Linked DNA regions of Kluyveromyces lactis. Each later gene encodes a partner of the first gene's protein in a complex. Links are inferred from orthologs where the notes say so. Each region holds a gene or a part of one and is shown on either strand. Other genes may lie near its edges.

Region 1 (7,274 bases):
TGCCATTGTTGCCTTGGTCATCTTGTGGGCTTTCCCCGTTGCATTTGTCGGTATGGTCTCCAATATCACCTACTTGACTAACAAATTACCATGGTTGAAATTTATCTACAACATGCCAGATCAATTGCTTGGTATCATAACCAGTTTGGCTCCAACCATCGCGTTGGCCGTGTTAATGATGCTGTTGCCTATCTTCATTAGAAAGATGGCCTTAATCGCTGGCGCACCTTCTTACCAGCATGTTGAATATTTCACTCAACAAGCTTATTTCGCATTCCAAGTTATCCAAGTGTTCTTAGTTACCACGTTGGCCTCCTCTGCTACTTCTACTGTTACTGCCATCGTCGAAGAGCCAACTTCCGCGATGAACTTGTTGGCTGAGAATTTACCTAAGAGTTCCAATTTCTACGTCGGTTACATCATTCTACAAGGTTTATCCATCTCATCAGGTGCCTTGCTGCAAATCGTGCCTTTGATCTTGTTCTTCGTGTTGGGGATGTTCCTTGATTCTACTGCAAGAAAAAAGTACGCTAGATTCACTTCACTATCCTCAATGGCGTGGGGTACTACATTCCCTGTTTACACTAACTTGGCTGTTATCACTTTCTCCTACGCGATCATCTCTCCATTGATCTTGCTGTTTGCATGTGTTGCATTCTTCCTATTATACGTTGCTTACCTTTACAATTTGACGTATGTGTTCCAGGAATCTCCAGATTCCCGTGGAATCCATTACCCAAGGGCTTTGTTCCAAACAATGGTCGGTTTGTACTTGGGACAAATTTGTTTGTTGGGTCTCTTTGTTGTTGGTAAAGGTTGGGGTCCAATCGTGCTACAAGCCATTTGTCTAGGTGTCACTGTTTTCGTTCATCTAAACTTCAATTCAGCATTTGACCATTTAATGGCCTTTGAACCTGTTGATACAATGAAGGCATTGGATGGTAAATCAAACACACCATCTTACATCAGAGATTTCGTTGAACCAGAAAAGGATGAAATCAAGGAATTGCCACCATTCCAAATCAAGAAGTACCATCCTCGTTCCTCGTCACAATTCGACCAAAGAACTACATCCATTCTGAGTGACAACACTTACGAAATCCAAACTGGTGTCTTTGATACCGATAATGAAAACACTTTGAACACAGTTCCATTGCTAGCAGACGGTGACATGACTCCAGTGCCACCAGCTCCATTCTGGAAAAGGTTCTTACTCCCTCACATCTACTATTCTTACAAGGCTGTGAAAACAAGATTGCCCGAGATCTACAATCTACCAGATCCAACAGAAATAACCGATGAAAAAGAAATCAAGCATGCATACGATTTCCCAACAGTCTCAGCTAAATGTCCATTCCTATGGATTCCTCGTGATCCATATGGATTCTCTACAGTTCAGATTGCTGATTTAGCTGGTGTCGTTGAAATTTCTGATGAAGGTGCTCGTTTCACAGAATCTGGCTCTATTGAGTGGGAAACTGCTCCACCTTCTTACAATGATTCTCAAATGCAAGTTGTATCTAATCCGTTTGACGAACAAGATGAAGATAATCTTCAGAGAGAGGAATAATCGTCAAGATCCAATCTAAGCCATTTTCTCTTACCATGTTGTGTAAGCTTTTAATTTATCTTTTTGTAATATTTCCACTAATCACTGATTAAATAATAATTTGTCTATTAAATTTCAAGCTTACCGAATTACAACCAAACACTAAGGAATCGTGGTCCAGTCGAGTCTGGGTATCCCACAGAAAGGATTCATTCCATAGTTGCTGTGTGGGAATTGATGTCTAGAGATATGAGAAGGGCTTCGCAACATTTGAGGTTGATTGGCAACCATTTACATGCTAGAAACTACCACAACGTTTTGGTTGGAAGCAAATACTCATCGTCTTTTAAACAGTACTTGCAGCTGCCAAACGGTGAAATTGGGTCCTATTTCCACGATGTGCCATTAGACTTAGATGTTGATGCCAAAACATGTAACATGATCGTAGAGGTTCCACGTTGGAGTAATGGGAAGTTTGAAATCAGTAAGACCGAACCATTTAACCCCATCACACAGGACATAAAGAAAGGCAAGCCACGATTTGTCAATAACATTTTCCCTTACCATGGATACATTCATAACTATGGGGCTATCCCACAGACATGGGAACAGCCACTTATTGAAGTATTGCCCGGTTTCAAGGGTGATAATGACCCATTGGACTGTTGTGAAATTGGTTCCAGCATCGCCAAAATGGGAGATATCAAAAAAGTAAAGCTTCTAGGGTCATTAGCCCTCATTGACGATGGAGAACTCGATTGGAAAGTCATTTGTATCGACATTGAAGATCCCATTGCTATAAAATTGAACAAGTTGGCAGATGTAGACACTGTTATGCCTGGTCTCTTGGATGCAACTAGAACATGGTTCAGAGATTACAAGATTCCTGCTGGGAAACAACCTAATGTGTTTGCATTCGAAGGTGAGTACCAGGACCAAGCATCTACACTTTCTACGGTACAAGAATGTCACGAAGCCTGGAATGCTCTAGTTAGGGGAGAAATTAAAGCAGATGGATCAGAGGCCGAGATTCCCTCCATTGTCAGAGCGGGAACTCACATAAGAGTTGAACCTAATCAACAAAATGACACACCAATCCCACAAGAAGTGGACAAATGGTACTATGTATGAACTTAAAAGCAGTCAGTGGTCAGTAAGCTTCTTCGGTTAGGTTAACCTGGCACAGCTCATCTCCTCTTATTATGCCTTTATGATATACATGTCCAATATTTTGATGTTACCCTCTCTCATATGTAGTGCAAAATTTTAATGTAAACAAAACTATATTTAATGAAACTATTCGATCTAACAATTAAGACGATGAGACAGTGGTACAGATTCACGTCAACTAAAGGCTATTGCGCTGGCCAGGTGTACCGTGCAGCATGTCATCTTTATCATTTGCTGGAATTTGTGCGTTTCTCCGCTCTGGGGAATACGATAAGGTACATAATGAGCCTACTTTCCAGGCAATCGATAAATTCTTGAAGGACAACGAAGAGATACTGGTTCATCTTTCGAGGTTTACCTCAGTTGAAAACACTGATTCCGTTGGAAAACAGCTGCAATTGAGGGGTTATTCATATAATGTGACGGTAGAGGACGAAAAATTGGCCAATGAGCTTTCAATTGCGTTAAATGTACATCAAAAAGAGTGTTTGAGAGTTATTTCGCAGACCAGGACCAGGTTCCCAGATTGTCCAATGGAAAAAGATACCATCGTTAAACAGATCTTACATGAAAGAAACTGTGTCTTGGATACAACCCTCGTTTTATTAAATCATGATTCTTTCCCAGTTTTAAAGGGCTCCATGTTACAACTTGTCTACAAGAATAGGTCCACAATGATATCAGAAGCAATTCTTCTGGTCAAGAACTGTGTAGCACTTATCGGCTCAGCAGAGCAAAATGATTCTTATAAGAGCTCATTAATGTCGTATGATCTTATTTATATTACAAATCTATTGAATTTGATCGCATTCGTAAGCTTGAATCAACCAGTGGGTCTGGAAATTATCACAAAATGGTACGAGTTGCTCGAAGAAACACAGTATTTCGCCATACTCAAGGATAATAAAGATGTCCCATCAGAGATCTACAACATGGCAAATTCTTTAATGATAATGGATACTATTATAATGACAGGATATAATACAAGCGAAGACACGATAGACGTAAAATCGTCTTTTTTTAATGACGCTGCGACTTTCAGAAGGCTTCTAGATCTCATAATAAACACAGATCCGCCAGCAATTATTGTATACTACTGGTCTTTCATCTTATATTCCAAATCGTATCTGTTAGAAGAAGATCCTGAAAATAATCTGGAATTCGTGCAGCAAGTCTTCAACTCACAACCCATTTCGAAGCTAATCAAAGAGTTTGCCCTTACTGCAGAGAATGAAAATGTTTTCGAAGAGATTTCTAAGGTTTCACAAATATTCAAAGATCAAGCCTTCTTTGCGGCTATACTGACTTCCTTCATCACTTTTTCGTTGTATTTCGTTCCAATCAGTATAAAGACTTCCAAAATGATCAAAACTGTCCTCAGTAACGCACCAACTCATTATGTGGAAAAGTTCTTGACAAACAAAGAATTTGAGAAAAAATTCTTCTTGATAAAAACAAAGGCTCCGCTGTTGAAAGAGTCACTCATTCCAATGATAAACATAACCTCAGCGAATGCTGAATTTGCAAATTTTGAGTGGAAGGAACTTCCCACCTATGTCCAAGAGGTTGTATTGGGAAGTCTAGAGTACGACTTAGCTGATGATGCACACTCAACAGATTTGATATCCATAAAGAGTGAGACCTTTGCTCGAGTACCGTTGGAACCTAGTGGGAATGTTCTCTTACCAATTCCGAAGGACACGAAGGCTAAGATCTTACCTTCAGTAACTAATGATGACGTCGTGATGTTCTTGTATAAATATAACGGTTGGTCATTATTGGGTAGAGTCCTTCAAAATGCATGCGATAGATATCTGTCCACTTCATCTGCTGGTGTTCAAGATTCTGATGTTCAGGAAATGATATTATCAATGCTGGATCTAATTTCTAGTGTTATAGGAAGTGGTATCTCGGTGGAGAAATCGGCCGATATTCTACTACAAATGTCTACCTATCTTACAGAAGATTACATTTTTGATGTTATTTTCAAAGTCTTCGAACAATCTTTGCATTTAAGAGACTATGACGTTATTGATCATTGTCTCAACCTACTCATCAGTTCCATAGATGACTTTTCTCAGTTCGTATGGTCGCATTTAGCAAGATCTGAACTCCTTGATAGGTATGGCAAATCCGGATTGATTTCTAGTGTCTTGGGCACCATGGAATTACCAAATGGAAACTACTCAATAACAATCAAGATTATCAAATTGGCGCAACAATTAGTTCTAGAATCTCTAACACTAGAGACAGAATTCCCAGAAAATCTGAAAAAGGAAATTCTTTCGAAATTCTTTCAGCATTTCATACATGTTTATGAAAGTTATCAATACTGGAACTATCGTTCCATAGCTGAGAAATATGAGCTAGGAACAAACTTAACCATCTTGTTTACGACTGTCGTTTACAATATTTATGGTATCGATCCATCTAATCCGCCAGAAACTAAAATTACTAAAGTCCTATCATCAGCTGCAAACGACATAACGAATCGCTTTTTAAGTTCTGACTCACCAGATGTAAGAACAGTCACTTCCATACTGCATGTTCTATTATCCAGCAACTCATTGGAAGCACTCTCTATCGGAAATGAAGTCTTTTACAATAAGTACAACCAATGTTTGCTGAAGTCTTATGAATTAGCAAACCTTTTAATCTCCGTCCGTGCAATGTTACAATTACCTCCCAGCACTCTGGAATCACAAATATATGGCAACTTGCCGAAGTTAATTGACATTTACGCCTTACACAATGATTTAAGAAATCCAATAATCAAACTCATGACGCACCTTGTGAGAGCCCCTTGGGCCGAAAACTTCCCATCTCTTTTATCGTATCTGGGCCAAAAACACTCCAAGATGATTTTCAATTCGATCTTGTACGACCTCGCAAGTACAATCGATGATTATCAATTTCTGAAGAGTTTATACAGATTCTTTTCTTCCGTTATGGAAGGAAAGCAGGATGGTTTCTCTATTCTTTTAGTTACTGGCGAAACCATATCCGTTGGCTCTTCCCCAAAAAAATCAGAACCATCGAATAGCGCCTCTGAAACATCAATTCTTTCTCTCCTTAAGAAAAATGTCTTGAAGCTAGATTGCTACCCGGAATCTGTGGCTTCTCGACTTCTTGAAGCAATCTCATATGCATTCAACTCTTGGGCTGCTGCAAGGAATAATACAGCAGATAAAGAATTTATAGATTTTCTCGTCAAAAGGCTAGAAAAGTTCGAGGACAAGTTGGCTCCCGATTCGGTTGAGGCGACGATTAAATTATCCAGTCACTATCGTCTTCAAGCGAGGATTGCTGAAATATTTGCCCTTCATCTATTCACCTCTTCACCTTCAGATTCCACCATAACAAACATGTTAAATGGACCCCAACTTGTTGATATCGTTAAGAGGATATTTTCTATAGACGGATATGATAAAACTCTTCATTTGACTCTCGCAGAGGAATTCAAAAAGATTTGGCCTCATCTGGATATAGAAAAATTCGCTATTTCACCACTTTATAGAATCGGTAAGGCGTACCAGGCGAACATATATGACATTGAACTTCTTGATCAGTTCTTCTGTTGTGAAGAAAAATGGAGAGGGAACGGGTCCACTCCAGGGTTTAGAGAACAAGTTATAAAAAGCTCTATCAACTTACAATATGTGTCTTTCCAAATTTCAGCAGCAAAATCATGGGGAGCTCTTTTGACCGCATTCATTAAGAAAACTCCAAAGCCTTTACAAGCTTCATATGTCGATATTGTTACCCAACTACTCGCACTAAATGTTGAGCATGGTGTGGAGGCACCTATCTTCTCTGAAATATACCTCCTAAGAATCGAATTGGTGTTTTACATACTGTATTCATTCTTACAAACTTCTATGAAGATACCTGAGGATAAGCTTGAAACTCTATTGTCACAGCTTTTGGCAATTTTAAAGTCTAAAGAGGTAGATTACCTCGGAAATATCGCACAATCGAATAAGAATAATCAATATAGACCTATTCTTCGTTCGATTTTGATGTTGTTAACTTTGGCAAAACCTTACCCTATGTTTTCAGAAAGATATTCTGATAGTCTATTGGAAGTCTTCGAGTTAGCTTTTTCAAAAGGTGTTAATTTGATCTTGTCTTCTATATTATTCTCATTCACAATAGCCTCCAACAAAGGTAAAAAAGTTATTGTGCCAAATCTTGCCGACAAAATTCAAGATTTGTTACTATTACTATCCCTTTTCACAAAAATCAAAGAACTGAACCCTTCGACATCCTTTAACGCTGTATTGGCATCCTCGCTAAATGAATTTGGAACCTTAAAATCACTTTTGAATCTTTACTACAGTTCATATCTTTTCAGATCTCATGATGAACCCTTATTCGCGGAGCTAACCCTGTCATTCATTTCTGAGCTTGTCACAATTGAAGAAGTTGCACAAAAGATTATAGATAACGGGCTCTTCTCTGTGTTCTTGGAAAGTCCGATTTCGGTGTCAATTCAACAATCTGGGGCTCGCCCAGAATTATCACCAAGATTGCATAACATATGGTCCAATGGCAT
Region 2 (6,917 bases), on another chromosome or scaffold:
CAATTCCTGGAACTTTAATATCTGCTGTTGTGCTTGGGACAATCTTGTTCATTTGGACTTCTCTAGGGCTTGAGGGTATCAACATATCATTCGTCGATGCATTATCCGTAGGGGCCACATTGTCAGCAACCGATCCAGTGACTATCTTGTCGATTTTCAATGCATACAAAGTGGATCCCAAACTTTACACTATCATTTTTGGTGAATCTCTACTTAACGATGCAATTTCTATTGTCATGTTCGAAACTTGTCAGAAATTCCATGGTAAAAAATTACAATTCAGTTCATTCTTCGAAGGTATCGGAATGTTTATGATGACTTTCACAGTATCCCTGTTGATCGGATGCATGATTGGGATGCTTGTCGCATTGTTTTTGAAGCACACTTACATTAGAAGATATCCACAGATTGAAAGTTGTATCATCCTTCTAGTAGCTTACCAATCTTACTTCTTCTCCAACGGTTGTCATATGTCCGGAATCGTATCTCTATTATTCTGCGGCATAACTTTGAAACATTACGCATATTATAATATGTCCAGAAGAACTCAAGTTACTTTAAAATACATTTTCCAACTACTTGCAAGATTATCAGAAAACTTTATCTTTATTTATCTTGGCCTAGCTTTGTTCACCGAAGTGGAATTGGTGTACAAGCCAATGTTGATCATTATTACAGCAATATCCATATGTGTGGCACGTTGGTCAGCGGTACTTCCGTTGTCTAATTTCGTTAATTGGTTTTACAGAATGAAAACTCTCAGATCAATGGGTTTGAATGCGAACTCTGAATCCGAATATTCAATTCCAGATGAAATTCCTTACCAATACCAGATGATGGTGTTTTGGGCTGGTCTTAGGGGTGCTGTTGGTGTTGCATTAGCCATGGGTATCCAAGGTGAATTCAAATTTACCCTATTAGCTACTGTTCTTGTTGTTGTTGTTTTAACCGTTATAATTTTCGGTGGGACTACAGCTAGTATGCTAGAGATTCTCAACATTAAGACCGGCTGTGTAGATGAGAATGATATTAGTGACGATGAATTTGACATTGAAGCACCCCGTCCAATCTCTTTAGCTAATAGCAGTTTGAACTTGTCGACAGACTTCAGATCTGATTTCCCACCGTTGGCTACAAGCGTCAATGCCGCTGCAGGTATAATATCGCCCGAAGACACTCCAAGTCAACAATTAAATGGCCCGAGGTTCTCATTTGATGGTGCTCAAATAAGAAGCTCCGTTGACAAAATTTTCCAGCAGGATCAATGGTTTGCAAACTTTGATGAGCAGGTCCTAAAACCAGTATTTTTGGACAATAATTCCGCAATACCTTCTCAAACAAATACTAAATCATCAAACTCCCCAAATGACATGTCAGTTCGACGGACGTTGTGATTCATTTCTAACATTTTACAACTGCATAATATGTTGACTTTATGTGTATATACTTTTATGAACAAAAAACTGGCAAGCACTAAATAGATCATGCATTGTAAGGCACTTAGTCGAATTCTTCGTATTGTAGTACATCTCATTATCATTTGTTGTTATCCCAGTACAACACTTCTTGAGCAGATACTACAGACGTTGCTATTAAATTTATAAGACTTACGGTTGGCGAGAAACGTTAATTGTGCACGAAAAGCTAGTGCGGATCGATGAATTGATAAACCGATGGAAAAAGTCTTTTTAAATACGTAATGACCTTTTTGTAAAAATGAAGATAACGTTTGTATGCTTTGGTTTGTATTTTATTCATACGTAATGCTAAAATAAGTTTGTTATAACAAAAGTTCTGCTGTAACTCAAATACTAACCTCAATGGTCATTATGATCTAGTGAAGGTTAATGGAAAATAAAAACATTTCATGAATAATTCCGACTTCTGGAATAAGAAGCAAGTATTCTCCGCTCGCTTGTTCAGTACATGTAACATCTTCCTATAACATACCAGAAGTTTGGGGTAGATTTCTTCTCTTTTATAATGAAAGCAATATAACTTTTGAATATTATTAGAGTAACATGCTTCTGTTGGGAATAATCCAATTGATGCCAAGCTATGTTTAAATATCTTGTGACATTTTTTGCAACCACTGTGTTAACTTCACGACATCTTCGTCCAAATAAACATCGTTAAGGAGAGTGTCATACTTCAAAACTATTTCCAAAAATGCATTGATACATAAGTCATACAACACACTTATGACATCATTCAAATCCTTTTCTTGTTTTCCATCCAATATTAATTCAGTAAACGAACCTAAAGAGCCAATAGATCTTTCCAAAATTTTTAATACTTCGCCGACTGAAGATACGACAGCTCCTTTGGGATCTTCATCCACAGAATTTACTATAAAACCCATCATCGAATACACACACTCGGCATAGCATACTGGCACAGGACACAACTTCTCAGCTTCCCTTACTTTTGATATATGGTAAAGTTCAAACAATGAGAGCTTCTTGTTCGTGTTATCAGTTGAATCGATGGTGAAAAAGTACTGACTGATTCTTCTCTGTATCCAATTCCAAAGATCAGTCAAAACAGAAAGTACTGTAGGTTGTCTGGTAAAAATTGCTTGTTTGTATGAGTCGATAAATCTCGGAGGATTCGGACTTCTTTGGGTATCGTTGTTTTTGAAAACATTGCTGTCCTCTAAAACGATTCTATGTGAAGCCATTGATGGTAGATCCGAATTTATTTGTTCAGTAGGAGGAGCACCAGGTAATCTGGAATCCTCATCATTATTTTGTTTTCTGACAGTATGGTTGGTACCGAATAAATGATCTACCGATCTATTGATAGGGAAAGATGGTTTTGTAGGCTGGGGATCAATCTCTTTCTTCAATGTAAGCAAGAAATCGGATACGTTATAGTTGGTTTCTTGAATAACAATCATACATTCTCTAAGTATACCGGGCCAGATCAAGCTATTTCTATAGGTATTGTGGTAAATTGGGAGCCTCAACTCCACATTTGCACAAGTGGCTCTGTAGGCCAGCTCTTGGAATGCAGTAAGTTTAACAAATAATTTTTCTGATCTCAACCCAGTGATCAATGTCTCCATTGAAGCTGGAGATAACGAAGAGATTGGTTTACCTTTATGCAAGCAACCAATTGATAGAAAGGCGTCGAAGCCAATGTTTGTAAAGTCCCATGTTTGCAAGATTAACAAGCATATACAACAAATCCTAATATGGGACCATATACCAGAGCCTAGATGTCCGAATAAAAGCTTTAATAGAATTGGAGTAATTAGAAAGAGTATTGCAGTTAACACAAGACACTTCAAAAATGAATCATGGATTCTTGAAGCCATAAACTTCTGAGGATGTTGATGTTGAGCACCGTAGTTGAAAGTAAGTCTGTCAAGATCTAAAAGTACATGTTGGATGGAATACAAAAAAGGTACCATAAACTGACAACAAAATTCGTAATGCTGTGAATGCTTTCTTGAACCAGTACCTGGAGTGAAAAAGCAACAGGAAAATGTCAAAGAAAGGAAGAATGCGCTCACAACGTAAACTAAAAGGTACGTGATCCATTTACGGGAGACTAATTGGCCATATGATGCGCTTATCCAGCTCGTATATCCAAGGTAATTGACATGAAGATAGTTTTTCCTGGTAATAATTAGCATCAACATTGCAACATAGAAAGATAATATTTTTACTGGCCATAACAGTAATTTCTGAGATTTCGACAACTCCCATTGTGTCGTAATGGTTGTAATTAAACCGACAAGTACCGCTGTTTTGAAGAGTAAACCCCTGGCGAAATTATTAAACCTGCTCTTGCATACCCCACTGAATATCCGATGGTAAGTAAAACGAGAATCACGCAGTTGCGGTGCAACCGGTCCTAAACTCTGCACGTAAGACATCAATGAAAACAAACCAATCAAAGATGAACACAGGTAAAAGTACAGCCTGTATAGCAATAAGCTGAGTAATTTTAGATGCTTAAAACAGACAAAGGTCAATTGGACTTTAGGACAATCAATTACCTTCCGAGTTACTTATATTATTTATTTGTATATCATCTCAAGCATTTTAAGTTCTTAACAGGTTGTGATCTAGAGATCAGGCGTCATAAAAAAATTAGATATTCGGGTAACCCTCTTATGCCAATGTCATAGTTGATTTGCATGGTAACTCGAAACTAAAGACAATCACCTCCTTGTCAGTGAGGTCAGTCTCAACATATAGACGCTAAACGCGAACCTGATGATATCGTAAACAGTTGTTACATGTAAATAAGTAAATCAACTAAATATGTGTCATATTCTCTTTCTCTTTCTTGTAACAATGGTCTCGTGTCAACTTTAACGCTTAAAAGTTGATATTCTTGTCCAAAAGATATATACAAATATATACAAGGTCACTCATAGAGTACTGAAAATATTAGAATGATTTGCGTCGCCACTTTCATGACCAATGTAAGTACTTCTATGACAGCACAGGTACTGCCAATCCTATAATGATAATGTTAAGTTTCATTGCCATCCTTTCAAAACTCCTTTCAATTTACATGGCTCTCGCGTCTTTTAATACCGATAGAAACAGATCTTTTTCAAGTTTACGTGATTTAAGCTACTGCTCTGTTTACTTTTTTCAAATTTACTGTATTGATAAACTAAAACTTAAACAAACTAGGTCAAACAGTTAACGATTTTGCGCTGTTGAATTGGACAGGATACCACCTTGCTTGTGTCTTTAACTGGTAGAAGATTTTGTGGATTGGTATATTAGTGCGACTCGCATCAATTTTCCTTTTTGCAGTTTGTTAGATATGGAGGATACAGGAAGTGGCAAGAATGGTAAAGATGACATTCAAACGAAGTTAGATAAGAAGCTAGGACCAGAATATATTTCAAAGAGAGTAGGATTTGGATCCAGTAGAGTAGCATATATCGAAGGCTGGAAAGCAATCAATCTAGCAAACCAGATTTTTGGGTATGACGGATGGTCTACGGAGGTTAAAAATGTCACTATAGATTTCCTTGACGAAAGGCAAGGTCGATTTAGTATTGGATGCACCGCTATTGTTCGTGTTTCGTTAGCCGATGGAACGTTCAGAGAGGATATTGGGTATGGAACCGTGGAAAATGAACGGAGGAAAGCCAGCGCTTTCGAGCGTGCCAAGAAATCTGCAGTGACAGATGCGTTGAAAAGATCGTTAAGAGGGTTCGGAAACGCTCTTGGGAATTGTCTTTATGATAAGGATTTCTTGGCTAAGATTGATAAAGTGAAGTTTGATCCCCCAGATTTTGACGAGGGAAACCTTTTCAGACCTGCAGATGAATTAAGTGAGATGTCAAGATCAAATATGGTTGGAGATGCGCATACTGAGGGACCTTCTTTGAAGAAAAGAAGCCTAACAAATGAGGATAGAAATGCCGTACCTTCTGCACCTGCACAGCAAACGTACCGGTCAAATAATCATACAACACAGAAAAGAGCACCAAAAGCACAAGCAGTAACAGCATCCGCATCACCGAATGAAGAAACTAGCAATCAACAGCAGGACCCTGATGATTTACTTGATGATTCTTTCATGTTTAGCGACGAAATACAAGATGACGATTTACTCAATATGAATACGACAACAAATAACAAAAATTCTACTAATAGCAGTACAACCACAACCACAATATCAGATGAAGCTACTGGTATTATCTCTCCTGTGACATTTGTTACTGCTAAAGCTGCCACATCACTGCAACATAAAGATCCCATCCCGTCAGGATCTATGTTTGACCCTAAATTTCAAGCCCAGTCCATAAGACATACCGTTGACCAGTCAGTATCTACACCAGTCAGAGCTACTATTTTAAAAGAAAAGGGCTTGGACAGTGATAGGTCCAGTATCTACTCCAAGTTCGCTCCTAAGGGCAAGGAACTGTCTGGCACAACGACAAATTCTGAACCATATGTTGCTGCTCCCCAAACGAGCGCAACAGAAAGTAACAGAAGTACCCCAACAAGATCAAATGCACAACTAGCAGGACCGCAACCTGCTCCGCAACTGCAAGGTCCTCAGCGCACCCAACTTGGAAGACCTCGTATGCTGCAACAGCCAAACAGAAGAAATGTGTCATAAAGTGTCTTAGAGAATAACTAAAGTCATCGAATTACCTGCCAAGATGAAAAATCATAGAATTTAAGAAATGATAAATGTTACGGTTTTGCCACATCTCAAGTTTGTAACCTACAGGTGTTATTTAAATATCCAACCGCTATATGTATAATTAGTTACTCATGCCTAATCTATATTCACTTGCACCCTACGCATTTTTTATTCCACAACATGAGATCACACTCTACGAAATGAAAATAATTGCGAGCGTTAGGCATAAGATCAATTGAGGATAACTATTTAATAAGATTTCACTATCAAAGGGCAGATATAGACAATTAATCGCCTAAGAACACGTCTCTGTATCACGTTCCAGCTTTCCAGAACGTTAATTTTTGAAGGCTACCTTTTCACTTTGTGTATAACAGCCATTCTGTTTTGAGACCTTGGTTTTTCTTTCAAACAATAGGAAGAGCAAATCCCATCGCAAGAGGTTTTTAGTTTGCCATCATCAACACAAAAGATGGCCGTCTTAACGAAAGCTGAAAAGCTACGGAAAGAGGAAAATGCGAAATCGTTCAAGCCGTTGATCAATGACTTAATTAACTGTGATGGTACTGATTTCATCAAGAAGTTAAAAGATATTAAAGAATGGGATCGTTCGAGAGATGATTTGTACATTTGGATTCCTGTTCTGGATAGAATCGATGAAATCTTATCAAATGTACTGAAGAAATACTCCTATGATACTACAGACTGGAAGAAAAATGGATGTAAATTGGAACTAATGAACACAACAGACGAAGACGAAGTATGGGAGTATTTGGCTTTCACTACTC

Evidence for each region. Proteins that work in one complex are often made in the same cells at the same time.
Region 2: NUP188 (region 1) and NDC1 share a complex: the UniProt entries of both Saccharomyces cerevisiae proteins name them as parts of the nuclear pore complex. The link is inferred for Kluyveromyces lactis from reciprocal best matches to the Saccharomyces cerevisiae genes NUP188 and NDC1.

What each region holds. Positions count from the first base shown.
Region 1 is NC_006041.1:970,480-977,753, reverse strand, and holds the start of NUP188 (Nup188p), read left to right. Parts: upstream 1-2,934; coding exon 2,935-7,274. Other genes in the region: RSN1 (Rsn1p), read left to right, coding at 1-1,570; inorganic diphosphatase PPA2, read left to right, coding at 1,787-2,680. UniProt on the Saccharomyces cerevisiae protein: Functions as a component of the nuclear pore complex (NPC).
Region 2 is NC_006038.1:137,622-144,538, forward strand, and holds NDC1 (Ndc1p), read right to left. Parts: upstream 3,884-6,917; coding exon 2,063-3,883; downstream 1-2,062. Other genes in the region: bifunctional K:H/Na:H antiporter NHX1, read left to right, coding at 1-1,394; recombinase RAD52, read left to right, coding at 4,792-6,102; E3 ubiquitin-protein ligase TOM1, read left to right, coding at 6,602-6,917. UniProt on the Saccharomyces cerevisiae protein: Functions as a component of the nuclear pore complex (NPC) and the spindle pole body (SPB), probably by playing a key role in de novo assembly and insertion of both structures in the nuclear envelope.